Linked DNA regions of Astyanax mexicanus. The protein of the gene in region 3 interacts with the protein of the main gene of each other region in a biochemical or structural test. Links are inferred from orthologs where the notes say so. Each region holds a gene or a part of one and is shown on either strand. Other genes may lie near its edges.

Region 1 (7,785 bases), on a different chromosome or scaffold from region 3:
GGAGATGACAGTAAAGGGCAAGACAAAGCCCATGCCCAAAGCGCCTTTGTTCAGAGTGATAATGGTTTTCACCAAAGAAGGGTCTAGCTCCAGACATTTGATATGGCCAGATGCATCCTGACTTGTCCCGGCATCTAAAAGAGGGATCGAGGCCAAAGACACAAACAGCCACACGAAGACGCATACCACCACAGCTCCTCGACTATTCTGTAGGTACATATAGGTGTATGGTTTAATAATTGCCACAAAGCGAACTATGCTGAGCACCATTAGAAAATAAACGCTCCCATACAGGTTGATGTAGAACACGAAACCCATGAAGCGACAAACAACATCTCCAAAGATCCAATGGGAGTTCATGAGATAGTAGACCGCTCGAAAGGGCAGTGAACACACCAACATCAGGTCAGAAATCAGGAGGTTTAGCATGAAGAGGTTAACCGGGCTGAAGGACTTCATCGTCCTCCTCACTCCGATGAAGAAACATAGTGAGACGAGGTTGGCAGTCAGTCCCAGGAGGAAGATAGATAGGTAGGCAGCTGGGTAGACACTGCGCTTGAAGGCACCGACTGAGCAGTTGCATTCAACAGTAACCGTGAAGTTCAGACACGGCTTAGTCATCGTAGATCTTTGGTCTGGTAAAAGTCCTGTAAAAATAAATCAGGTATATAAGATTATATTAGAAACAAGCTGAGACAAATATCTAAAACAAATGTCAGGTGACGATATACAGTAATAAAGATACTAGAAACTAAAAAGTGCATACACTAAAAGGAATGCATAATGGTTGTGCAGCTGAATGGGAGAACAAAGGATATACAAATGATAAACAGCCCTAAAGCAGTGCATGCAGTTAGTTTGCTGTGAGGAAAATTAAATTATAAGGCATGGGCTTGGACAAAAAGACCAAAAAGGGAGCGAATGGGAGGAATGAGGGATGATAAAATGACAAATATATATATATATATGGACCATACTAAGCACAATAAGATATTACACAAATAAAGTACAACACAACACACTACATAGATTTCTAATGCACATATAGGAGAAGGTGTCCTGTGGGTACACACTGATGCTGAGGGGTATGCAAAAGTTGTGATTTTGTTGTTGTCCTCAAAACACTAAAACAAAACCTTTGAATTAATGATTTCTTTTAATAGAGAAGAATCCAATGTAATAAAATAGAATAATATATATTAAAAATTAAACCTGTAAGTGTTAATGAACTTCAAACTAGAAGGTTAACAAAATGAAATACAGTAATATCTACTTGTAAATAATAATGTGGATATTTTATATTATATCAATGGATGGAGGGTTGAATATTTAATTTGTTTAGAAAAAGTGAGGCCAACAAGTTTCCAATTAAAAAAATGGATGTATACCCATTGTAATGGACTTGTTCTCTCATTGTCAAAGACCAATGAAATAAGGCACATAATACAAAGCACTTACAAATAATACAAAGCAAATATATAGAAATACACCCACCTGAGATATTGAACTTGAAACTAGAAGGATAACAAAAAGACATACAGCAATTTCTACTTGTAAATAATAATGTGAATATTTTATATTACATATCATACCATATATCATTGCTGTTTCTCCAAAACTGCAATTTCATCGGAAAAGAAAAATCCTTCTTAACATTTAATAAAAGTTAATGTAAAGGATTTAATTTTATTAAGTCAATTTGAAGCATTTCTATTTCAATTGGCACATTTTTTTCTGTGACAGTGACAATATTATACGTTATTATGGTATAATATTAGTCCTGTGGTATATTGTAATGTTCATGTAGAAATGTGAGATATTTACAAAATTAAAGTAAAAACAGCAACAATAGAATAAAAACTTACCTTCTAAGGTCTGCTAAAGACTGATGCTCACATTTAGATCTGTGAGGATCCGACTGACACTTTCACTGAAGAACAGTACTGGGAAAAGAACCACAAGCAGCTTCTTCTCTCTCAGTGTGGTTGGCTGAGGCTCTGTTGCAGCTCCACCCCATGAACTGCACTGCTCCGAAACCACTATCAATTTCTTACAGGATTACTGTCAATCTACAGACTGACTGATTGCACTTATTGATAAAAGAAATCTGTAATCATGTAAACATCAGTTTCATGTACATGTAGTGCATACTCATAGCTCTCTGGATAGTCCTGTCTGCAGAAATGATCACCATGCCTCAGAAAGAGTTAACAAAAAATCATACCTGATGCCAAGTTAAACCCTTTGCCTATAAAAGGTGCTTCAATCACACATGTTCCTGCTTGTTTAAGAATGCTGCTTATCTTTTTCACAGCTTAATGCTGTAAGACTGAAAGTGTATACATGAGCCCCCCACCCCACCATTTTCTTTTCCAGAAAACTTTCACAAGTGCTGATCTTGGTCCAAAACCTGTGACCATACATGAGAATGTTTTGACTTCCACTGAAATTCTACGGAGGTGGATGAAACGCAGACACACATAAATGTGTTGCAAAAGTATTCCCCAACAATAAACATGAATAATGTGTCCAGGATTTAAATAGTACTATTTTGAAATCTGTTTGCACCTTTAGCATTTTCTTAAATAAGCTATTTAAATAAGATATTAGCGAAACACTGCAACATTGATAACTGAACCATGAGAACGGAAACAATAAAGAAGTCCAAGGAAAAAAACACAGTAATAAATGATAAACTGCTTAAAATGCTTAATTTGAGAATAAACACTTTCAGCACCCCCCAAAAAAATCAAATATAATGAGCTCTGACATTTGGCATCCTGCCTTTTCTGGGACAAAAGACTTTCTATTCAAGAGAACCACAAAGGCATATTTGGATTTCATTAGAAAACCAAAGAAATGACCTAAATAAGATGTGGGAACATATTTTGTTGCAATTTAAGAACAAAATATTTAGAAAATGTCTGACTTTCAAGATATGTGAATTTAGTAAAGCCACAAAGGTTTGAATCATTTTAGTAAAAAAATAAATAAATAAAATCTTGGCCTCGCTTTCTTTGGGTAGGTGTTCCCTCCAATGACTGTAGAAAACATAGAAAGCACAATATCTCTAAAAAGTGAAACCAACACAGTGCCTCTGCTGGAAGGCTGCAGTATAAGGACAAAACAGCTAACATCTATTTCTTTTCCTCTAATAATCTGCATTGTTTAATTTTAACAGTTAGTTTGTCCTGCAATATGGAACTTGCGGGTGCGTCTGGATCCACCTCTGTCCTGCACATATCACTGAGCTGTTAGTGTCCCACCTTGTATTACTTCTAGGGGTGTCCGACCATTGTATGCAAAAGCACCTCAGATTATCACACCACCATGCAATGGTGCAGTGTGTCGCTCCAAAGCAGCGTTGAAGCACAAGGCCTCCATGCTCAAACCTGATCGTCATCAAATCCCACACAGAATTTGGATAAATTTGCAAAGATGATATGGTTCTGTAGGAGTTTAAGTACTTTGTTCATGACACCACTGCAAATAAGTAATGATGACTGGCTTAAAGAGTTTTTCAATTGTGAATTTGTAAAAGGCCCCTCTTTAAGTCTGTCTACTGTGTAAAATACAGAATTACAATTGAGTGCACTGTTGAGGCATCACTGCCTAGCAGTCAATAATCTCTCACCAGGAGGTACACTACCCAAATGTCTGAGAGTCTTTTTGCGAGCCAACAGAGAAAGGACTATTTTAGTTTCCTTCTGGCCAATTGAGTATGTGGTCAGACCACACCTATAGTCATTCACATACCATGCCAAACGTTTTAACTCGAATCATTGTGCTAATCATTGAGCTCAGGTTCCAGATACTTCCATGGCCACACCTGTACAGGTGTACAAAACCAAGCATCTAGGCATGCAGACTGCTTCAACAAACATTAGTGAAAGAATGGGTTGCTCTCAGGAGTCAGGGAATTTCCACGTGGTACCCTGATAGGATGCAGCACTTGACGTAACATATTCCACAGTCAACTGTCAGTGCTATTACAGATCTGGAAAAAAATAAGAGACCCCTTAAAGATGAGTTTCTTTGATTTTACCAAATTGAAAACCTCTGGAATATAATCAAGAGGAAGATGAATGATCACAAGCCATCAAACCAAGCTGAACTGCTTGGATTTTTTGCACCAGGCGTGGCATAAATTATCCAAAAGTAGTGTGTAAGACTGGTGGAGGAGAACATGCCAAGATGCATGAAAACAGGGTTATTCCACCAAATATTGATTTCTGAAATCTTAAAACTTGAATATGAACTGAACTGAAGCTGTATAACCTAGTGGAAGAGATTTTAATCTGGGTGGGGTTCTCCGCATCCCTATGATGAGTATGGACAAGTATAATAAAGTGTTCATTAAATGTATATATTTAAACACAGTATATGGAGACTTTAATTTTTTTTCATTTACAGGTTTTCTTGACATCAATTGAGAAACAAAAGTAGTACCCTCGACCATCCGAGTAGGGTGTTTATGGAAGGAAAAACATGAAGTGTTAAAGTGACACCAAACTAATTATTTACAATTGGCACAGAGACCTGTTAAGAAGACAAGGCTACTGCTTTAGTGATGTGAATGGGGCTCCTCTGATAGAAGCACAGTTCTCAGTGAGTCCTAAGCTGGTTTTACTCTTTAGTTGAACTTTAGCTAGCTAACTAGCTAACGAACATCTCCAGAAGCGAGCAGAGCGTCTCCTGCATGATGTCAGCTGTGTGAAAAACATGCCTCTCCTCTCATCATCCGCTGTGAAATGAAGGACTGATTCAGCGGGCAGGAGAATGACAGCAGCCGGCTAGCTGCTGAAAACTCCCTGGAATTATCGGACCACTTTCCTTTGAACGAGCCTGGATTTGTGAATGGAAACGAACCTGAACAAATACATTAAAGCACCCTGTGGCTGAAAGCGCCGGCGTTCATTTTATAACACGAGGTATGTTGACGTTAACTTTTTTAATTATGTGTTGGCTGGTTAGCAACGCTAGCTAGCTTGTTGAGTTTCTGTCGAGCCTCCTGTGTAGCTTCAAAACAAGCCGGCTATAGCCAGCTAGCGAAGTTAGCAGTATGTTAGCTAGGTTAGCTAGCTAGCTAACTTATCCAAGTACTTGAGCTTTAGATATATCTGTGTTTTTAACAGATTGGGCTGATATGTGTACAATAACTAGCAATATAGTTAGCTAACAGTTATATATCGTGATAATAATAGCTCGTATTAATATTAGGTGCTTTAACTATACGGCATTTCTCAATTTAGCAAGCTAAGCTAGCTTCCCATCTATCTAGCTAGCTAGCTAGCTTGGCTGTTTATAGAGCCTCAGTAAAATCTGCAGGTAAATCGTTACTACAGCGATACAGTACCGCCAGCTTTGATTTTAAACTGCGTTTCTGCCCATATTATCCCTGTTTTGTGTAACTACATGGTGTAACGTTAGCCAATCATATACGTAACTATGTCTACCTAACTTATATAACAGATAGCTAGTTAGCTTTATTAGTTAGTTAGTTAGCTAGTTTTGGGATGTACGAAAAATAATAGCTTAGTTTTTGTAGCCCACTTTATTCTCGTCAGTCAGCTGTTAGTCACATTCAAAGTTGGCTTAATATAAATAATAGTTTGACAGCCTGGGGACAAATAATAGACTAAAATCACACCAACCCATATTAAAACAATTCGGTATCCTACCCATAAATGTTCCCTTTAACTCGTTTTGTTGCTTAAATGCACGTTATCAAATGGATTTTCGTACCCTTTAATACTGTGAACGTGGCCAATGCTGCAGTACACTTGGGTACTGCAGCACAGGGGTACAGTCATTTTACCAAAAGCAGAGGCCAGCACATTTTGCTGATTCCCCTACTGTAACAAACTTCATAATCCTGCACAAACTTCAGAAACCTGACAGTTAGCTAACAGGTGAGCAGAAAGATATGTGTTTTGAGCAGGAAAGTCACAGAGCTGTGCAGGTATTTGCACCTCCTGGTGCACAATATTACCCCTAAAAAATCAAGGAAAAATATTTAGCTAATTACTGTTCTATTGCTTTATTCTCATTTTGGTGGTTAAACAAGACTAAAACAGTTAACTGTAAGTGTAAGAGAGCAAAAAACACTTTCTTGTTTTGTTTTATTTTATTTATTTATTTATTTTTCATTTTATTTCTTTTATTTATTTATTTTTTCTTAAATTTTCTCCTCAACACGGCCAATTACCCAACCCACTCATTAGGACATTAGGACTCCCCCTATCACTAGTAATGCCCCAACACCAGGAGGGTGAAAACTAGCACTGATGCAGCATTGCCCAGTAGCATCACTCGGTTTCGATACATCAGCTCACAGATGCATTGTGCTTATCAACTTCTCTGTAAGAGTGATGTGGGGAGAGAACGCCATCTACCCACTCAGAGAGAGCAAGGCCAATTGTGCTCTATAGAGCAATTGTGCTCTATAGATGGCGAGCTACATGAACAGGATTCGAACCAGCAATCTCTTGATCATAGTGGCAGCTCGCTGGAGCATTCAGAGCCCACTTTCTTCTTTTGTTATTGGTTAACCTGCCCCAAAGCCTTTTGCTTGAGTTATGTAATATTTTGTGGCTTGTGTATAAAGTTGCAGTTCGAAAAGTCTCAAGCAGTTAAGTCAAGTGTTCAAACGGCTTGAACGTCCAAAACTGTTTTAGACCAGGGTCCAATGGCCGTACATCCTGTTCTCCTTGCTTGAGGAAAAAATGTTTGTGTCTGTTTATCCTGTTTGTTGCAGAGTAGCATGCTAGACGTGGGAAAGTGGCCAGTGTTTGCACTTCTGCCTCCTGAGGAACTGCGACTCATCCGCCAGGCCTGCGTGTTTGGCAGTGCTGCTAATGAGGCGCTTTACGTTACTGTCAATGATGAGGTATGTTTTGCTTATTAAAGGACAGTGCTTGTGTGTGATAGCCCTTCAAATATAGGTAATCCAATAAATTGAATGAAGTAATGTCCGTAATTGTTTGCAAAGACTGTTTCAGATTGAAATACTATGGGTCCGATATCAGGGTTTGAGAAGAGGGAAAGTTGCCACACACACACACACACACACACACACACAGAGAGAGAGAGAGAGAGAGAGAGAGAGAGAGGAGTGTACTAAGCAGATAGAGCTTCGCTATATATAGGCCTGTAATACACCACAAGCCTTGTTTGTACCCTGAGTAGTGTGTGTGTCACTGGAGTCAAGTTTTTTCCACTAGACTACTATAAAGTGTAATTTGTGGTTTGGAACACCCAAATTTAACATATTTAACCATATAAACATTTTGATTATTTGAACAATATTGAGAGAGTGAGTTAATATAGCTAAACTAAATAATGTATCCAATATAAATAGAAATGCAAAGTTAGTACATGTGTATTTGTCTGCACTAAAGTCTTAAAATACCTAAAATTAGAGTTAGGTGCAGCACATCAGACACAGATGATTAGAACTCAAAGGTTGTATATGCCTTTTGAATTAGAGAATTTCATTCTAAGACAAATATTAGAACAATTAAAAATAATTACAATAATTTTAAAGAGAAATGCCTGGCATTACTTAGTTTTATTTGTGGAGATATATTGCCTCCATACCAGTGTTGTCCCCCTTTCCCCTCTTCTTTCTTTCTTAATGGGCTTGTTTCCATTCATGTCTTCTAAACCTTAAGTACAGGCAGTGGAGCAAAGCTTCAGATGATGCCAACCTATTTTTATGTTGGGTTTCTGTTTCCGTTATAGTAGCCTATCTAAAGTACAGATCCAGCACCAGCACTCTTATCT
Region 2 (6,950 bases), on a different chromosome or scaffold from region 3:
CTAGGGTACTTCTTCATGATCAGTTTACATACTGACATCCCATGACTTCTGAACTGCCAGTGTAGCTTATAATAATGTAATGGAATATAAATATTATATATGTAATATAATATTGTACAGTTTTTGATTCATATATTACTGTGATATAGAACTGTGGTATTTCCAGTCATATAAATGGTGTTGTGATAGCTTTCGTCAGATATGAACAATATATCTGATGTAAATATATATCTAAAATGTGGACATGTTAATTTTCCTCATAAATTAAAAGCCTTTTTTTTAAACCGAATAACTATTATATTAAAATAAAATGTTGAAAATGTACTTTTAATATAACTTATGGATATGACTGGTTCAAGGTGATTTTTGTATTTTATATATTTTTATTAATTATATTTGTGTAGATTATTTGACAAGCCATAACCTGGTAAGCATGCATTTCTGGGTCATCTCTTTTGCCACTTAAATAGATTATAAAACAAAGAGCACTGAATAAAAAATTATACTTTTAGCATTATTTAGTCTAAAGTCTAAATTCATAAAATGTGAAAAAAATCAGCCTATTTTCTAAAGTTTTTTTTTCTCATAAACTAATCACCTGCACTTATGCACAAAATCTACTGATCACTACTGATCTACTAACCCCATTTCCTTCTGATAGTAGATCAGTTTTTCACATGAAATTTGTGTTCTGCAAGAGATTTAACCCATTAAATATAATTTTAGAATAATGTAATATAATTTGTTCATAAGAAAGCAAGCCAAATCATTTCCGATGCTATTCCTTTACTAAATAAATAAATAAAACAGCGGCCTGCATGTTTGTTCTCTCTCTAAAATGAAAGGCCTAAATGAGAGCGTGCGTCAGTAAGCATTATAAAGGTGATCATTATCTGATATTGGTTTCTGACTCGCGTTGAATTAAAATAATCAGCTTGAACTGATTTATTTGATGATGACCCATCATAACACATGGTGAAGTCATAGTCGTATCTTATCTTAAGGAGGCTCATTAAGAGCTCTGAGATACGCCTGGGGCTGAATCATCACTGTGATTGTGCAGAAATGAAAGAACAGCATGGGAACACAATGCTCTCTGTAAATACACGTTATCTTCTGTTTATGAAGCGATATCTATGAATGGAATCTAGGCCGAGGAGCCTTTTTTCTGTACCTGGGTCTGTAACAAAGCATCTTAGAGTACTAGTACTACAAACCCAGTTACAAAAAAGTTGGGATGTTGTGTAAGGTGTAAATAAATGTAAAAAGAATCTGCAAAATGCAATGATTTTGCATATTTAATAGAATGTTATTTACAATAGAACATTACATACACATTTTACAGGTGCATCTTACAGCACTTCATCCAGATTTCATTTTCCAGCAGGACTTGGCACACTGCCCACATTGCTAAAAGTACCAATTGGTCTTATAATTATAATATTCTAATTTTTTGGGACACTGATGTTTGGGTTTTTATGGGCTGTAAGCCATAATCATCAACAATAAAATACATCAATATAATATATGAGTTTCACATTCACAAACTTAATTACTGAAATAAAGTAATGTTTCAATGATATTCAAAATTCTGAGATGCACGTCGATATTGAAAGAGACACATTTTGCCAATTTAATAAAATCATAAACTCTTTTTGAACTTATGAACCAAAAAAATTGGGATGGAGCAACATAAAGGCAAAGAGGAAACCAAATGATAAGATAATGCAGAAACTCTGCCATCTTCTCTAGGTCAAAGTCCTTTTTAAATATGTACAATTTTGGTTAATCTGCCCATTTTAAATATGCTTTGGCATACTGGCAGAGAAGATGGCACTGTTTATGGATCAAGGTGACCCATGACTTCTTCTTTTTAATGATGCAGCTTTAATTGCATTACTAGATTGCATGGTGAACTGTGTTCACAGACAGACAGTAATTACTGGAAGTGTACCTGAGCCCATGTAGTGATTTCCAGGAAAGACTCAGTACAGGGGCGGGGGGTTTAATGCAATGCCAGCTGAGGGCCTGAAGATCACCAGCATCCAATACTGACTCTTGGCCTGCTGTACCTTGCTCTCTGTGATTTAAAAGTGCCATATACTTTTCAAGCATTTTGGAGCATTTTCCCAACTTTTTGGAGATCTTAGTGTTTTCCATTCAGCTCTACATGGTCTAATGTTGTTCATGAAATGGTAGAATGTGTCAGTTTTAACACTGATATGTGTTCTATGTTCTACATTTAACAGTGTCCCAAGATTTGTGGAACTGGGGTTGTAATACTGACTCTAATCATTTTGGGTTAGATCTATTCTGCAGTTTGTTTGAGTTTTTACCTCACTATCAAGGTTCTCGTATTATCTGATACGGCCGGTGTGGCTGCAGGTCATCATTATATGAGGTGTGTGTGTGTGAGGTCTTCTGCTGCTTGTCTGGAATGAAGATCTGCAGCCACATCAGCCTTTTGCAGATTGGATTGGTCACCCTTGGCTATATTCATTCAGCAGGCTGTAACAGGCCACATTTATGGCTCAGTGCTTCCATCTGCTGGCAGTAACAGAAGGAGGAGGGAGGCTGGAGATAGCACCTTATTTAAAATCTAAAATCTAGCCAGTGTGCCTGCAGGTTTTTATTACAGCCAAGCTTAAGCATATCATCAATTGATGTCATCAGCTGTTTGACGACTGATCAACTGATTAAACAGGTGGAATTAAATGTGCTGTTGATTGTTTAGAATGAAAATCTTTTTTTACATGCCTCATTATCTCAAAGAGTGGTGCTGCAATTGATTCTACAGTAGAGTTTGCCTCCTCCATTTCTCTGCTGGAGAAAACACTGAAATAGGACTTAAAACAATGCTATTTTCGTCCAAATAAGTTTGGTAACCAGTAATTTTCTGCATTGTAAAAAATGTAAAGATATTTTTAACACCTAGGAAACTTTTCCTATGTAAGCACCTATGTAGATATACATTAGGTCAGCTATTCTCAACTGGTAGGTCACAGACACGTTCTTGGCGGGTCATGGACAGCTTGTAAAACATATATATAAAATGAAATATCACTTTTCCAAAAAATAAATAAGGCCACAAAATATTTTACTCCTCTGCTTATATATATATATATATATATATATATATATATATATATATATATATATATATATATATATATATATATATATATATATATATATATATAAGCAGAGGAGTAAAATATTTTGTGGCCTTATTTATTTTTTGGAAAAGTGATATTTCATTTTATTGTAATAACATTTTTCATGCATATGTATGTTTAAATGGGTTGAGAACCCCTCAATTTGGATAACCAACACTACGTAGATAACACGCCCATGTGTGGCCCGTATGGGTTACCCAACAGGAAACCAGATAGTGAAGGACCCCATTAGGGTCAGTAATGGGACCAGAAGACAATAAATATGGGCCCCATGTGGGCTATACACTGCACATGTGGCCTATACACTGCACAGTAGTAAAAAAAAAAACGCTTATAGCCCATGTTTCACCCATGTGAGCCACACATGTGCATGCTGGCTGGGCAAACTGTCCCATCAGTCCAACTGTTCAGTATGATTTCAGTATTTAGTGACTACAGAAGCGAGCTGAGCACACATTGTGATGTGTACCAAAGTACACAGAAACATCATCCACGTCTACAGCACAGTTGATCCTGAGAAGGTGCTGCAGAGGCAGAATTACCACAATAAATTTTTTTTTTTTAATGTTAGGAAATGTTTGTAATCATTTTAAGCAGGACTGATATGTTTCAATACTTTAAAGGAACACATTTCAGTTATTAATGAAATGAAAATATGGTTTAGGGTTTAGTGGCTCTTTAACTAATTAGTCAGATTTTATAGTGTAGTGCGTGTTTGGCTCTAGCTGCAGAAACTGACTACATCTCCCAGAAGTCTGAGCGTGTCCACCTTTTACGCAGACTGACGTTCCTGTCGGGCACGTAAACAAGTCAACGGGAAGCAGCGCTGTGGAGCCACCCGAGCAGGTTAGTTTAAATTAAAGCTGTATTTATCGTGTTTTATGTGCTGATTTTAGCTGAAGCTGGTATTTAATGTGTTTATTTATTAGAGCGCTGAACTGTCGAGCCCGCGGCCGGTTAGCTGGGAGCTTCTGCCCCGCTGTAAAAGCCTAATCCGCGCTGCTCAGGCTAACAGTGCTAGCGCTGCTGCAGCTTTACTGCTAACCGGATAGATAGCCTGTGTTAGTTAGGTGTGTTAGCTTCAGCTAGCTAAATAAGTAACGTTAAGTATTTAATTACTCTAAATGTGTGTTTAAAATAGAATACAGAGCTTAAAGTGAATCCTCCATAAGATTAAAATAAAGCCATACACTCCTATAGGAGTAATTAAAGGAATTAGCCAGTGTTAGCAGTGTTATCAGAGGAAACTAGTTACTTAGCTTATATAGTTAAAATGACTGTATATGTGACTGTCAGGAGCTTATACACAATTTACACAGTTTTGTACAGCTAAGTTAGATAACATATTTTTATACTGAGCTAGTTATTTTTTATTTCTGTTATCCTACAGCAGGGGTGTCCAAACTTTTTTTTGTTGGGGGCCAGAAGGAGAAATATATTTGAAGTCACGGGCCACACTGTTTAATAAAACAAATAATGAAATATACCTCTTTAAATAATAAATTTTCCTCATTATTTTCATTTACACACCATTTTACTTGACTAACTATCTTTATCTTTGACAGTGTTGTGTAAACTAAGATTTTTTCAAATTGATGTTTAATTTCATGATGTCTCTTAATATTAAACTCCTTAATTACAGCAACTTTTAGACTCTTTGGTCCGTTTTTCTGTGCTAGAAATGCGCACCCTCTCCGCTTTTAGAATCTGTACCCCGTTTTTCTGAGCTAGAAATGTGCACTCTCTCCACTTTTAGACTCTGGCCCGTTTTTCTGCGCTAGAAATGCGCACCCTCTCCACTTTTAGACTCTTTAGCGTTCAAACTTTGAATCTCACATTATAAAAACCTGCTTAACAGCGGGCCAACTTTCATTCTATTTCTAAAATACCTCGAGGGCCGCTCCAAAAAAGAAAACGGGCCGCACTTTGGACACCCCTGTCCTACAGTACTAGCCAAAACTTTGGACACACCTTCTCATTCAATGTTTTTTTCTTTTTTGTTTCTTTAATTTATTTCCTACATTATACGTTAATATTAAAGGCATGAAAACAGTGAAGGGGCACATAATAAAATTATTATCTGACATGGGTCATTGTCTGACACTTTAAATGCTTCCATACTGCTCACGTGTTTGCTGCATTTACATAGAACAGGTGACTTTGTGTTGGTTGCTTGATTTTTGACCAGATGATTTGACTTTTTTTTTATTCGATGTAACAAGTTAAATTATTTGGAAATTTCATTTATTCAACAGAACACATGAATGCATTTATTATAAATTTGTTCCCTAAAATGTGGTTGCCAAATGCGATGCTTGTTTCGGTGAAAAATGGGAAAATGAGCTGAAATCTTTTGTGCAATACAGACGGAAGACATATTTTTAAAGAAGGTGTAACTTTGTCCTCACCATTTACATGTAAGGGCCTAGTTTACTTCTACACAATTTAGCACAGAGACAGTACAGGCATTATACAGTATAGAGTATAGGTCATCTCTGTCCAATGTAAAACAAGTATCTGCATTTTGGTGATTTTTATGTTATTACATAATTTGAACACATAAACTGTGCCAAATTTCTTAATAAATGAGCCAATAGAAATTTTCCAACATGACCTGAAATAAACTTAAACTTTACATTCACCTCCATTGGAATCTATCTTATGTAAAATTTCTGTTTTGGACAGAGTCGATATGTTATTTTCAGTGTTGAGTATATTAAATGATTACACTGATGTCTTTTGGGAAACACAAAAAGAGAATATGGGTAGAGAAAGGGTGACTAAGCCTTCTGAGGTCTGTCATGTGACAGAACATGAGGGTTTCCAAAACACACCATTTGTTGTGTCCAGTGAGGACACATCAGCTGCCACTGGGGTCAGAACTGGGTAGAACTTACTAGGGGTGGGCGATATGGCTCTAAATTAATATGACGTTATTTCAGGATATTTTTGCGATAACGATATATTTGGCAATATAGGAAAACAGAAAAATAATTCATTAATTTTAGGAATATAGTATAATAGTTTAAGAGTATATCGTAATGTGGCAAAATAAATAATATAGCATAAAATAATATAATGCAGCAAAAAATATTGCAGAATATTTTCATGCATATAAACTGCAAACTAAAACTATAAACTAAAACAATTATACAATAAATACACTTAAAGCTTCACAGTAAATAATGGACTACTTTTAAGACAAACCATCCCTATTTTCACGATATGGACTTACAATATCATGATATTTCTGTGTCACGATATATTGTATACAATATAATATTGCCCACCCCTAGAACTTACACATTAAACAGATTATCTGACACATATTTGGTAATGTTGAGAGGTTTATTAGAAATGTCATAGTGAACTTTTAGTTTCAATAGGGTATTGGCATTTTTGGACATTCTTAAGTTCTTTAGGCTATTTTCATACATTTAATAACATTCAGTTGGCAGGTTTAGTAGAATATAAACTAATAGGTTCTTTTACTTTTTCTAACATTTATAACACCTTCAAAATCATGGTATAATATTCTATTTTTTTTCAGTTTGTGTTATTTTATAATGCATTTATATTTATATTATATTTTATTTCTGCAGCAGGAGTGGCATAAAGTTTTCCAAAAGCAGTGTGTAAGACTGGTGGAGGAGAACATCCCAAGGTGCATGAAAACTCTGAATAAAAACCAGGGTTATTCCACCAAATATTGATTTCTGAACTCTTAAAACTTTATGAATATGAACTTGTTTTCTTTGCATTATTTAAGCTCTG
Region 3 (7,342 bases):
TTCTCTGTCTCTTTTATCACCATCCATCTGTCTTTCAGTCTGTTTCATTCTACATCTGTCTGACAGTTTGTTTCTTTCTCATTTTGTCTTTTCCATTTTACAGCTATCTGTCCCTTTTTCCCATCTGTCTCTCTATGTCTGTCCATTGTCCATTGGTCTGTCTCTCTCTCTGCCACTTCATCTATCCCTCTATCCCTATCTGCCTGTCTTTCTCTAATCGTCTATCCCTCTGTCTGTCTTATCACCACTGTCATTCTCCATTTGTCTGACAGTTTGTTTCTTTCTCATTTTGTCTTTTTCATTCTCCAGCTATCTGTCTCTTTTTCCATTTGTCCATCTCTCTGTCCAGCCCTTTCGTCAAACATCTGTCATTTTATGTCTGCCACTCCATCTTTCTATTTGTCCCACCTGTCCCTATTCCTTATCTGTCTGTTTTTCTCCAATCATCTATCTCTCTGTCTGTCTAATCAGCATCTGTCTGTCTCTCAGTCTGTCTTTTTCTCCATCTGTCTGACACTTTGTTTCCTTCTAACAGTGTCTTTTATATTCTGCAGCTATCTGTCTCTTTTTCCATCTGTCTCTCTCTCTATCTGTCTGTCTCTATTTTCTAGCCCTTTGGGCACCCATCTGTCTTTCTGACAGTTTGTTTATTTCTCATTTTGTATTTTCCACTCTCCAGCTATCTGTCCCTTTCCAGTTGTCTTTCTACATCTGTCTGTCCATTTCTTTATCTGTCTCTCTCTCCTTATCTAGCCCTTTCAGCAACCATCTGCGTTTTTATCTGTCTGACACCTCATCTATCCCTCTATCCCACCTGTCCCTATTTCCTATCTTTCTCCAAACGTCTATCCCTCTGTCTGTCTTATCACCATCTGTATGTCTCTCAATCTGTCTCATTCTCCATCTGTCTGACAGTTAGTTTCTTTTTCATTTTGTATTTTCCATTCTGCAGCTATATGTCTCTATTTCCATCTGTCTCTTTCTCCAGCTGTCTCTCTTTGTATGTACATTTCTCCATCTGTCTCTCTCTCCACTTTTCTGTAAGTTTTTTTTTCTCATTTAGTATTTTAGATTCTCCATATACATGTCCCTCTTTACAGTTGTCTGTCTCTATCTGTCTGTCCCTTTCTCCATCTGTCTTTTTATCTGTCTGTCATTCCATCTATCCCTATATCCTACTTATTCTCCAATCGTTTATCTCTCTGTATGTCTTATCTCCACCTGTCTGTCTCTCAGTCTGTCTCATTCTCCATCTTTCTGTCAGTTTGTTTCTTTCTCATTTTGTCGTTTCCATTCTCCAGCTATCGGTCCCTATTTCCTTTCTCTATCGGTCTGTCCATTTCTTAATCAGTTTTGTCTCTCTTTCTATCCTTTTCTTTTGTCTGTTACATCCTTTTTTATGTTGTCTGTCTCTTTTCCACGTCTCTGTCTTTTTCTCCATGTTGCAATATGTCTCCTTTTTCCAATATGTCTCTTTTCTCATCTCTCTGTTCCTTTCTCCATATGTCTCTTTTTCCATGTCTCTTTCCCTTTCTACATATGTCTCTTACATTCTCTCTCTGTCTCTCCATTTCTCCTTGTCTCTGTCTGTCCCTTTGTCCACCTGCTCCTCCATATTTCTGTCCTTATCTCCTTTATTTCATACATCTGTCAAGATTGTCTATATCTGTTTGTTTCTTTATACATCTGTCTCTCTGTCCATCTTTTCTTTTCAGTTTGTCTGTCCTTACCTGCACCTGTCTCTCTGTCTCTCTCTCTGTGTCTCTCTGTCTCTGTGTGTGTTGTGAACAGTGTTCTGCAGTAATCAGAGAGATAATGAATATTATATACGCACATTAGTGATGCTGCTTCATCACAAACACCCAGACAGAGAGAGAGAGAGAGAGAGAGAGAGTGAGACAGAGACAGAGAGAGAGAGAGAGAGTGAGACAGAGAGAGAGAGAGACAGAGAGAGAGATAAAGGCTGGTTAGATAGGTAGTCTGGTTTGGATGCCTACTGACCAATTTGATATATGGCAATTTCCATTGCATTATATTTCTCTCTCTCTCTCTCTCTCTCTCTCTCTCTCTCTTTCTCTCTCTCTCTCTCTTTCTCTCTCTCTCTCTCGCTCTCTCTGCTCACTCAGCTAATTTACTCTAAGACATGCAATACATGTATCTCTCTCAAACACACACACACACACACACCTGTTCCTACACTTATGCATATTCAACAGGTTTACAAAGTTACCCAATTATACTAATACCAACACACACACACACACTCACACACACACACACACACACTCACACAAACACACACACACTCACACAAACACACACACACACACACACACAGTGACGATGCACACTGCAGATGTTTTCATACCCCGTCATAAAAAAAATAGTGAAAACGTGACTGTGCATCACACACACACACACACACAGACACACACACTATACACACACACTTACACACTTACACTCACACTCAGACACACACTGTCTGCATTCCCACACAACGCCAACAGCACGTCTGAACCTCTGCCGTAAACAACCCAAAAACCTGCAGCACAGAGAGACAGAGAGAGAGAAAGAGAGAGGGATGGAGGGATGGAGGAATAGAGGGATGTAGGTATAGAGGGATGGAGGCATAGACGGATGGATGGATGGAGATCCCCGCGGAAGAAAGGCGGATACGTACCACGCAGGAGCAGAGTGAAGGCAGTTTAGTACGACCCTTCATCAGATACACACGCACACACACAGCGGCCGAGCGAGAGAGAGAGAGAGAGGAGGAGGAGAGGAGAGAGGGATGAGGACAGAGAGAGAAAGAGAGAGAGGCTGGGAGAGAGAAAGGAGGGAGGGGGGGACTGTACTGAGGGGGAAAATGAAATAAAAAAAGAAATGGGGAAGAGAGAGAGACAGAGAGAGGAGGGGGCGTCATAAACTAAAGAGAGAGAAAGAGAGAGAAAGAGGGTAAAGATTGATGGAGAGATGTAAGGATAGTTTAGAGGAAGAGAGAGAAAAGGTAGAGAGAGATAGATAAAGAGAGACAGAGCAAGAAGAATAGGGAGAAAGGTAGAGAGATAGAGAAAGAGAGAAACAGCGAGAGAAGAAGAAAATGGATAGAGAGAGAGATAGAGAGAGAGAGAGTGATAGAGGGATAGATGGGGAAGGCACTAATGAGAGCAGAGAGAAAATCCTGGCAGAGGAAACGATGAGTGAGTCACAGAATATGTTTATGAAAGAGAGAGAGAGAGAGATAGAGAGAGAAAGAAAGAAAGAAAGAAAGAAAGAAAGAAAGAAAGAAAGAAAGAAGTGGAGAGAGCATGGACAAGTAGAGGTAGAAACAGGATAGGAAGAGAGATATAAATATATATAGAGAGAATGACAATAAAAGAGAATTGGCAAAGTGAGAGAATAAAAAATAGTAAAAAGGGAGAGAGAAAATGAAAATAAATGAAAAGAAAATATAAGGAATGTGAAAAATGGAGAGAAAAAGAAAAATAGATAAGAAAAGTGAGAATTAGAGAAAAAAGAGAAAGAGAAAGTCGAGAGAGAGAGCAGTGAGACAGTAAAAGTGTAGAGAGAGATAGATAGAGAAACAAGGGAGAGATAAAACGTTCATGGAGAGAGAGAATGCTGGAAAAGAGGAAAGGGATAGAGAGAGATAGAAATAATGAGGAAAGAAGTTGGAATAAGAGAGAGAAAGGAAATGAACGAGAAAAAAGTAAGAGAAATAGCAAAAGAGAAAAGGATAGAGTGAAACTGAGAAAGAAACGAGAGACAGAAAGAGGAATGAAAAAAGAGTAAAAAAAATAATGAGAAAAAAGAGAAAGAAGAGAGAATGAGAAAAAGGAGAAGAGAAAGAGATTGAAAACTGAGAGTGAGGAAAGAAAAAAGTAGATATAATATATAAAGAGATAGAGAGACAGTAAGAAACAGAGAGAAAATGAAAGGATGAGAGATATAGAAATTAATGTGATAGAGAGAGAAAAAAGAGTAAAAAAAATCAAGAATGGAGAGATGAAAAAATAGAGAAAAGAGAGAGAAAGAATAAGAGGAAATGAATGTGATAGACAGAGATGTAGAGAGAAAGAGAGAGAGAGAGCGAGAGAGAGAAAGAGAGAGATAGAATAAGAGGAAATGAATGTGATAGAGAGAGATGTAGAGAGAAAGAGAGAGAGAGAGAGAGAGAGAGAGAGAGAGAGAGAGAGAGAGAGGTCTTTGCCTGTGCTATTTTCGGAAATTTACGATTTTCTTTTTTTTGTTATTTTCTTCACGCTCGCATAGCTGTTTATACCCACACACTCACCCCACCTCTCCCTCTCTCCCTCTCTCTATCTCTCTCTATCTCCCTCCCTCTCTGTCTCTCTGTCTCTCTATCTCTTTCTTTCTCTCTCTCTCTCTCTCTCTCTCTGTATTTGAATTCATATTCATACTCTGTGACCGTGTCTCTTTCATCCAATCAGAGCTCAGGAGGAAGAGGAAGAGAATTAGAAAGATAGAGAGATAGAAAAAGATAGAGAGATAGAAAGAGAGAGAGATAAAGAAATAGAAATAGAAAGAGAGAGAGAGATAATTTTATTTTCTCTACTAAATTGATGAATGGATTCTGTAAACAGTATTTAATGTTAAAATGTGTGAGTGTGTGTGTGTGTTGTGTGTGTGTGTAGTGTGTGTGTGTGTGTGTGTGTGTGTGTGTGTGTAGTGTGTGTGTGTGTGTGTGTTGGTAGGGGTGATAATTAGTGAGTATCTCAGTAAACAGACTCGACACTATTAAAACAACATCAGTAAACAATTTAAACCCAATTACCAGAATAAACATGCAGATCTAAACCAGTACAGAATGCATGCTGTACTAGTGTGACATAACTGAGTCATACCAGTATGATGTCATAACTACTATTGTTACATCATCCTGCTGTAGAGTAAATACATGGAACATACTGAAAATAATGCTACAAATATATTGTTAAATAACAGTAAGCTAGGACAGTAGCATTATGATGTAACAAGTGTGTAACCTTACACTGACATGATGTAATAACAGGTGAGTAACCTTTTATTGCTATGATATAACAACAGGTTTGTAACCCTACATTGCTATGATGTAACAGCAGGTGTGTAACCTTTTATTGCTATGATGTAACAACAAGTGTGTAACCTTACACTGCTATGATGTAATAACAGGTGTGTAACCTTACACTGCTATGATGTAATAACAAGTGTATAACCTTACACTGCCATAATGTAACAACATGTGTGTAACCTTACATTGCTATGATAACAACAGATGTGTAACCATACACTGCTATGATGTAACAACAGGTGTGTAACCTTACACTGCTATGATGTAACAACAGGTGTGTAACCTTACACTGCTATGATGTAACAACATGTGTGTGTAACTTTACACTGCTATGGTGTAACAACTTTGTTACTCTATACCGCTATGATGTAACAGTAGCTGTGTTACTCTATGCCACTTGATGTAACAGCAGCTGTGTTACTCTATACTGCTATAATGTAACAGCAGCTGTGTTACTCTATACTGCTATAATGTAACAGCAGCTGTGTTACTCTATACCGCTATGATGTAACAGCAGCTGTGTTACTCTTTGCTGCTATAATGTAACAGCAGCTGTGTTACTCTATACTGCTATGATGTAACAGCAGCTGTGGCACTCTATGCCGCTATGATGTAACAACAGCTGCGTTACTATATACTGCTATGATGTAACAGCAGCTGTGTTACTCTATGATGCTATAATTTAACAGCAGCTGTGTTATTCTATGCTGTTATGATGTAACAGCAGCTGTTTTACTCTATGCCGCTTTGATGTAACAGCAGCTGTGTTACTCTATGCTGCTATGATGTAACAGCAGCTGTGTTACTCTATGCTGTATGATGTAACAATAGCTGTGTTACCTCATGCTGCTATGATGTAACAGTAGCTGTGTTACTCTATGCTGCTATGATGTAACAGTAGCTGTGTTACTCTATGCTGCTATGATGTAACAGTAGCTGTGTTACTCTATGCCGCTATGATGTAACAGCAGCTGTGTTACTATATGCTGCTATGATGTAACAGCAGCTGTGTTACTCTATGCCGCTATGATGTAACAGCAGCTGTTACTTTATGCTGCTATGATGTAACAACAGCTGTTACTCTATGCCGCTATGATGTAACAGCAGCTGTGTTACTCTATGCTGCTATGCTGTAACAGCAGCTGTGTTACTCTATGCTGCTATAATTTAACAGCAGCTGTGTTACTCTATGCTGTTATAATGTAACAGCAGCTGTGTTACTCTATGCCGCTATGATGTCACAGCAGCTGTGTTATTCTATGCTGCTATGATGTATCAGAAGCTGTGTTACTCTATACCGCTATGATGTAACAGCAGCTGTGTTATTCTATGCTGCTATGATGTATCAGCAGCTGTGTAAATTTATGCTGCTATCATGTAACATCAGCTGTGTTACTCTATACTGTATGATGTAACAATAGCTGTGTTACCTCATGCTGCTATGATGTAACAGTAGCTGTGTTACTCTATGCTGCTATGATGTAACAGTAGCTGTGTTACTCTATGCTGCTATGATGTAACAGTAGCTGTGTTACTCTATGCCGCTATGATGTAGCAGCAGCTGTGTTACTCTATGCTGCTATGATGTAACAGCAGCTGTGTTACTCTATACCACTATGATGTAACAGCAGCTGTGTTACTCTATACTGCTATAATGTAACAGCAGCTGTGTTACTCTATGCCGCTATGATGTAACAGTAGCTGTGTTACTATATACCGCTATGATGTAACAGCAGCTGTGTTACTCTATACTGCTATACTGTAACAGCAGCTGTTACTCTATACTGCTATGATGTAACAGCAGCTGTGGCACTCTATGCCGCTATGATGTATCAACAGCTGCGTTACTATATGCTGCTATGATGTAACAGCAGCTGTGTTACTCTATGCTGCTATGATGTAACAGCAGCTGTGTTACTCTATGCTGCTATGATGTAACAGCAGCTGTTACTCTATGCCGCTATGATGTAACAGCAGCTGTGTTACTCTATGCTGCTATGATGTAACAGCAGCTGTGTTACTCTATGCTGCTATAATTTAACAGCAGCTGAGTTACTCTATGCTGTTATGGTGTAACAGCAGCTGTGTTACTCTATGCCGCTATGATGTAACAGCAGCTGTGTTACTCTATACCGCTATGATGTAACAGCAGCTGTGGTTCTCTATGCTGCTATGATGTATCAGCAGCTGTGTTACTCTATACCGCTATGATGTAACAGCAGCTGTGGTTCTCTATGCTGCTATGATGTATCAGCAGCTTTGTTACTC
Region 4 (7,548 bases), on a different chromosome or scaffold from region 3:
TTTAAAAACTATTTACAAACACTAAAAGAATCAGGCTTGACTCAGACTCAACTACTAAAAGACTCAGTTTTGACTCAGACTCATCTACTAAAAGACTCGATCTTGACTCAGACTCGACTACTAAAAGACTCAGTTTTGACTCAGATTCGACTACTAAAAGACTCAGTTTTGACTCAGACTCATCTACTAAAAGACTCAGTTTTAACTCAGACTCGACTCCTAAAAGATTCAGTTTTAACTCAGACTCGACTCCTAAAAGACTCAGTTTTAACTCAGACTCTACTACTAAAAGACTCAATCTTGACTCAGACTCGACTACTAAAAGACTCAGTTTTAACTCAGACTCGACTCCTAAAAGACTCAGTTTTGACTCAGACTTGACTACTAAAAGACTTGATCTTGACTCAGACTCGACTACTAAAAGACTCCTTTTTCACTCAGACTCGACTCCTAAAAGACTCCGTTTTGACTCAGACTCGACTACTAAAAGACTCAGTTTTAACTCAGACTCGACTACTAAAAGACTCAGTTTTAACTCAGACTCGACTACTAAAAGACTCAATCTTGACTCAGACTCGACTACTAAAAGACTCAGTTTTAACTCAGACTCGACTCCTAAAAGACTCAGTTTTGACTCAGACTTGACTACTAAAAGACTTGATCTTGACTCAGACTCGACTCCTAAAAGACTCAGTCTTGACTCAGACTCGACTACTAAAATCTAATCTGACTAAAACAAATGTTTACTGCTAACTAGTGGGCGAAGTTTAAACACAACACTAAACAATGAACCACTTCTGACACCAATCTTTACATCTAAACTAATAATAAAAAAATCAATACTGTGTTTTTGATAATCAACAAAGTATTACAAAATAAACAAAATTTTGTTAAACTTTGCTGTATTGATATTTTTGTGCACCCCTACTTCGCTATGTGCAAATGACATTTACATCACGGTTACACTGCAAGATGTGCAACGTCATAATATAACGGAATTATAATACAAAATCACAGTACAACGTCACAATATAACTGGATAAGTGACTTCTAATTTTGATAATGTATTGCAATATATATTCCAGACATAAATAGACAGACCTATTAAACCACTACATATCATGACATACATTTTTTAAGGTATCTTGCAACCATAGTAGAAACACACAGAAACTAGAATATACATATATTAACAGAAATATATTGTTTTATTAGCTCCACAATTTGAATGCATGCGAGAGAAAAAAACGCAGAAACATCCAAAACAGTCGCACCAGCCAATCAAACAAGAGCAGATGTGTCAGTATTTGCTGTATTTCTGCAGATTTGATGGCTCACAGCACTGCTGGACTAGCAGTAATGCAGTCATTGTATTGCAGTTTTACGCATGCTGTGCATGCACCTTCACCCACCACCCGTTCACTCAGTACTTTTACATATAAAATATTATGTATTGTTCAATTATACCTAATATAACTGCTTACACTCATTCAGCAACACTTATTATCTCAATAGTAGTGAGACATTAAATATATTTGCTTAGTAAAAAGATAATTTATTACTTTACATTTAATTAAGTATTTAGGTTCTCACTGCTTACCACAACACACAAACACGCATCATATAATCATATTTTAGTTTAAGATTTTCTACTTTTTGCACAATTTTCTTTTTACTTTCATGTTTTTTCTTGTATATTTGCGTAAATATATACTTCCTGACATTTCTATTTGCAGTATTTGATATTTCTTTTTTGTTTTGTTGTTGTTTGTTCATGTACAACATTAATGTGTAATGCTTACGACAGCATTTATATTTATTCAGAGTACCAGGTTTAATATAATATACAAAATTATAGATGTAGCTTTTTAGAATCATACTTTAGTATAAATCTTCATGTTCTGTTTTTTTTTTTAGATTAAGATATATATATATTTCCTGACACATCTGTAATCTGCACTGCACTGAACTGGAATATTGCAAAAAAAGGCTTAGTTAGTTTTATTAAAGGCTTATTTTACCTTATTTTATATTTATATAATACTGTTAACTTGTGTGGGTAGGTACAGTATGATGTCATTATTTTGTATTACTATTTACTATATATCTGCTATTTGTTGTTATCCTAGTACATTATCCCTGGGAACGCACGTGCATGTTATGTTCTTTTATAATCTTATAGCTTCTCTTTCTTTACATTTTTGCGGTAGTTTTTCTTTCTGTTTTCCTGCTTTTTCCGATTTTTTTATACAAAAAATGCTGTCTAGTTCTCTGCACTGCTGTAAAAGTCTACTGCAAAAATCCACACAACAATAGATGGTATTGTCTAATCTTATACTTGTTCTACAATAATGAATAATAAATTAAACATCAGGATTTGGATAAAAACAGGATATAATCTCTAAAACCTCAACCCCATAAACATCCAGGCAACAGTTAGTCAGTGTGTGGAGAGACTGGAGGCTGAGTTGCTGGGAGTTAATGACAGTATCAGATATCAAACCCTCCCCTACTCTAACGACAATCTACCGCTAAAAAACGCATAAAACACGCTAAAAACACGCGCAAAAATCACGCAAACCAGCAGCCGCAATTTCTTCAAGCATGCGATTGAGCTTCATCAGCGTAAAAACAATAAATAATCAATGAAAACATCACAAACAGCTATGTTTACACACTTACCCACTGCACTGACTGCTCTGCACTGCTGACTGGACCGGACCGAACCTCCTCAGAACCCCCAAAAAAAACCCCAAAATCCGGATTGGATCCCCGGAATAAAGCGATTGAATGCTGAATCGCGGGGAGTTGGTGCCGTCAATGCGCTGCGCTCTGCGGTCCGCGTACTAATCCCGCCTCCATCATACAGAACCGAACCCAACAGAACCGAACCGAGAACCAGTCCGCGTGCTCTCCGCTCCACAAACACGGCGAGCCTGAAAAAACGGGAGACGCGGTGGAGTCAGTTTACACTGCCCAACTCTCTCTCTCTCTTTCTCTCTCTCTCGCTCTCTCTCTCTCTCCACCCCTAGCCCACACTAAGCCACGCCCCCAAACAAGGGATTGGCCACTAGTGCCAAAGCCCCGCCCTTCTGCGCAACTATTGGCCAAAGGTTTAAACTCTACACACCGGAACGTCCACAGTGGTCAGTCTCTCAGAGCAGTGAAGCGCCTGAAGCTCCGCCCACTTGGACTGAGATTGCGTATGAAACAAAATGTATCAAAAACAGAAACGTTCTCATGTTATTAAACGCTAAAGCCACGCCCTTGTTGTGGTAGAACTGGTTAGCTCACAGGAGTGTCAAGGAATGAGGTACAAATACTTTGTTACTTTACTTAAGTAGAAATATTAAGTATAAGAAATACTTATACTTGAGTAATTAAAGTAATTATATTCTTTAGCTAACTCGTACTTCTACTTCTTGCAATTTTACACAATCATCTGTACTTTCTACTACTACTTTTTAACATTTTAAAAAACATTCCTACACTCTGTTGGTTTATATGTAATTAATCCCCCTTTGCATTACATTTACTACCTCTTGCTTTTGTTCTTTAGTTTTAAAACCAGTATGGTCAGTGTAACAATCATTAATATATTTTTCTGAGTGTTTGAGCCTAAATGCAAAAATAGAAAAGTTTTCATCCATTTTTCCAGTTTTATTTTTTTCCATCCCTCACAATTAGAATTTCAGGAAAAATTTAAAAATTATTATTTTCTCTATTGTCTGATTTTTACATTCTTGTATTTTGCAAGTTGAACTATACCATCAGATTTGTGTTACAAGACTTGACAAAAATGGAAATATATAAAATATTGTACATTATTTTACATATATATTATATTTATTATATTTATATATATGATCTTTTCTTTCTTTTGTATTATTCTAGGTTATATAAATTTTTTAATGCTTTCACGAATAAAAACTAAAATTGTTAAAAAAGAAGTAGAACTGTTAGAACTGTAAAAACGTATTGATGTTGTTTGTTCATATATCGTAGCTGTCCTATGAAAAACAGTTATCTCCATTTTTGTCGATTATTAGTTTACTGCACAATTTGAACAGACAAACTGTCCGTCACACTGTGCCAAAATTTCTTGATGAACGGACCAATAGAAACTCTTCAAAATAACCTGAAATAAACTCTTTTTACATTGACTTCCATTGAAAGTTCACAATGTTTTTTCTCTCTCCTGTAAAGTTGCTGTTTTGGAGATAACTGTTTTTCATTGGACAGCGACAATATGTTCTATTGTTTTAATAATCCCTATTGTTATACTGTTATTCCTTCACTGACCATATATACTGTATATTGAAATAATAACAGTATAAAATATGAAACACGCAGTAGAATAACAGTAAACATGTAAGATGTCACGCAAGAGTTATGATTAAAAGATTAGGTTGAAGGGTTTAGGAAGAAAAACAGCCCCTCCCCCTTCCCATAATCCCTGTAGATTTTCATATTAGTGGGCACAAAGGGATTATGGGCCGCCCCCAGGTCCGGTACAGCCGAGCGGCGCTGCGTCTGATCTCGTCTTCATGCTGTAAAATCGCGCCATGAAATATGTATGACTGAAAAAGAAAGCTGTGCCCTCAGAGTGCGGCGTAATCACGCCCAATAATCACGTCCAATAATCGCGTGATTACTGTACCGCATCATTACAGCCCTTTCTCCGAGGCGTCCAGACGTAAAAACTCCATTATAGTGCGCAGGGTTAACCCGTATTAATCAAGATAAAACATGCAGTACTGAGGGGAAGATCAGTCCGCCGTGGCGCACAGCGCTGGGTAATGTGTGCGCGCACTCATACATATCAGAAACTAAAAATTAAATGGCTTTTGTTTAATATATTTTCTGCTAATTAGTAGATTTTGTTGCTTTTAGAAACAAAATCTTTAATTACATTAATTATATTCATTTTCATATAATTCATTTTTTCGAACCTGCAGCTCTGGCAAAAAATAAAAGAGCAACTTAAAAATAATGAGTTTCTTTTTTTCACTCATTTTACCAAATTGAAAACCTCTGGAATATAATCAAGAGGAAGATGGATGATCACAAACCATCAAACCACCAAACTGAACTGCTTGAATTTTTACACCAGGAGTAAAGCAGCATAAAGTTATCCAAAAGCAGTGTGTAAGACTGGTGGAGGAGAACATGATGCCAAGATGCATGAATTTTTTTTTTTAATTAATTAAAAACCAGGGTTATTCCACCAAATATTGATTATTTCTGATCTCTTAAAACTTTATGAATATGAACTTGTTTTCTTTGCATTATTTGAGGTCTGAAAGCTCTGCATCTTTTTTGTTATTTCAGACATTTCTCATTTTCAAATGTTCTGGAGTCCCAAACCTTCAACATCAGAACTGCACCTCGCTGATGCTGTTGTTGTGGCTGAATGCTATCAAATCATGGCAGCAGTGTTCCAGGATCTGCTGTTAAAGCTCTTCTAGAAGATCAGAGGCTGTTTCTGCAGTAGAGGGACGAGCAGAACTGCTGCTGATAGGACGGTAAACAGGCCTGTAGAGTTTTATAATCTGCTGTAAAGCTGTAGAGCCGAATTCAAAGAGAAAGTGCTGCCGGGGGAAAGCAGTCTGTGGTCTGATGTTCAGCACATGTATACTGTATCATCCCCTAAACTCTACAATACTCTACTATACTCCACTACACTCCTCTACACATCATCCCCTAAACTCTACAATACTCTACTATACTCTACTACACTCCTCTACACATCATCCCCTAAACTCTACAATACTCTACTATACTCTACTACACTGTATCATCCACTAAACTCTACAATACTCTACTATACTCCACTACACTCCTCTACACACCATCCCCTAAACTCTACAATACTCTACTATACTCCACTACACTCCTCTACACATCATCCCCTAAACTCTACAATACTCTACTATACTCCTCTACTACACTCCGCTACTCTACTATACTCCACTACTACACTCCACTACACTCCTTTACACTCCTCTACAGTGTATCATCCCCTAAACTCTACAATACTCTACTATACTCCTCTACTACACTCCACTACTCTACTATACTCCACTACTACACTCCACTACACTGCATCATCCCCTAAACTCTACACTACTCCACTATACTCCACTCCTCTACACTCCTTTACACTGTATCATCCCCTAAACTCTACACTACTCTACTATACTCCACTACTACACTCCTCTACACTCCTCTACTACACTCCTTTACACTGTATCATCCCCTAAACTCTACAATACTCTACGATACTCCACTACTGCACTCCTCTACATTCCTCTACACTGTATCATCCCCTAAACTCTACACTACTCTACTATACTCCACTACTACACTCCTCTACACTCCTCTACTACACTACTCTGCACTGTATCATCCCCTAAACTCTACAATACTATACTATACTCCACTACACTCCTCTACACTCCTCAACACTGTATCATCCCCTAAACGCTACGCTACTCTACTATACAGGTGGTTGCTATGGTTTGTTTAAGTGGTTGCTAGATGCTTTAGTGATTAGTGCTTTAGTGATACCACATTGACTGTATGTAAGCACTGTTGGAAGATGCTCTGGATAAGGGCATCTGCTAAATACCTTAAATGTAAATGCGCTGGGGTTTCTGAGTGGTTGCTAGGTGGTTACCATGGTATCCTGGTAATGTGGCTGAAGGAAGCCTTGCTAAGCTGTTGAATCAGATGTATGAATGACATCTTTTCGAGGTAATAGCGTCAATATGTACGTTTTTTTTTTCCTTTTTTGCTTCCCGGAGATTTCGGTTCTTGCGAGCGAGACGTTGCTAAGGTGGAGCGAAATCCCCGGCCGTGTTTATGGAGCCGCGGCGTAAAGAGGGCGGCAGTTATGGCCATTTTAGAGTGATCTCTGCTCTCTTACCCTGAGAATCTTCATTACAGCTGAGTGGCTCAGGTACTCAGCGCTCCTAAAGCCTCCTGCCCCGGGGGCTCGTCCTGCTCGGCCAGAAGAGCCCTCAGCGAGGGGTCCCACGGCTCGAGACTCGCGGGATCTTATCGCTCTGTTTGGACGAGGATTTTACTCCGCAGTGCAAAATGAATAAGTAATGGGAAGAGGTCTGCAGCATTACCCAGGAGACCACCCAGCCCAAACGCGGGGAGAAAAACGTACAATAACAGCCGTAAAACAGGCCTGCGAGGAACGCCATCTAACAGCAGCCCCCGTTAGCATCCGCACACGTAGCAACGGCTAATTAAAACACGAGATCATAAAGGGAATTATTAAGATAGATTACGGGATGCATGTGCTGCAGTTTATTTAATTCAGATTAACCCCTGAAGGCCACAGATAACCGTTATGTAACACAGAAAAATATATATTCTTACATCAATTTTCCAATTTTAATACATGCTATAACCTAAGCACCACCAGGAGAAGTACAACAGTGGGAAATACATGCTAGGCTAAAAGCTAACTATGGTATCAGTGTTAGGCTAAATGCTAAATCTACAGCAAACTAGAGGAAAAACTGCTCAATAAAA

The links.
Region 1: the proteins of disks large homolog 4 (region 3) and cysltr2b interact in a biophysical measurement, tested with the Homo sapiens proteins (2 studies listed by IntAct, with this or other methods). The link is inferred for Astyanax mexicanus from reciprocal best matches to the Homo sapiens genes DLG4 and CYSLTR2.
Region 2: the proteins of disks large homolog 4 (region 3) and ralbp1 interact in a biophysical measurement, tested with the Homo sapiens proteins (2 studies listed by IntAct, with this or other methods). The link is inferred for Astyanax mexicanus from reciprocal best matches to the Homo sapiens genes DLG4 and RALBP1.
Region 4: the proteins of disks large homolog 4 (region 3) and sema4c form a complex in vitro, tested with the Homo sapiens proteins (2 studies listed by BioGRID and IntAct, with this or other methods). The link is inferred for Astyanax mexicanus from reciprocal best matches to the Homo sapiens genes DLG4 and SEMA4C.

Annotation. Positions count from the first base shown.
Region 1 is NC_064425.1:22,199,457-22,207,241, forward strand, and holds the start of cysltr2b (cysteinyl leukotriene receptor 2), read right to left. Parts: upstream 3,021-7,785; 5' UTR 1,866-3,020; intron 648-1,865; 5' UTR 622-647; coding exon 1-621. Other genes in the region: rcbtb2 (RCC1 and BTB domain-containing protein 2), read left to right, coding at 6,764-6,889. UniProt on the Homo sapiens protein: Receptor for cysteinyl leukotrienes. The response is mediated via a G-protein that activates a phosphatidylinositol-calcium second messenger system.
Region 2 is NC_064411.1:46,521,278-46,528,227, forward strand, and holds the start of ralbp1 (ralA-binding protein 1), read left to right. Parts: upstream 1-3,935; 5' UTR 3,936-4,022; intron 4,023-6,778; exon of another isoform or gene 6,779-6,840; intron 6,841-6,950. UniProt on the Homo sapiens protein: Multifunctional protein that functions as a downstream effector of RALA and RALB. As a GTPase-activating protein/GAP can inactivate CDC42 and RAC1 by stimulating their GTPase activity.
Region 3 is NC_064408.1:2,144,171-2,151,512, reverse strand, and holds the start of disks large homolog 4, read right to left. Parts: upstream 3,011-7,342; 5' UTR 2,927-3,010; coding exon 2,684-2,926; intron 1-2,683. UniProt on the Homo sapiens protein: Postsynaptic scaffolding protein that plays a critical role in synaptogenesis and synaptic plasticity by providing a platform for the postsynaptic clustering of crucial synaptic proteins.
Region 4 is NC_064429.1:37,682,805-37,690,352, forward strand, and holds the start of sema4c (semaphorin-4C), read right to left. Parts: upstream 3,002-7,548; 5' UTR 2,683-3,001; intron 1-2,682.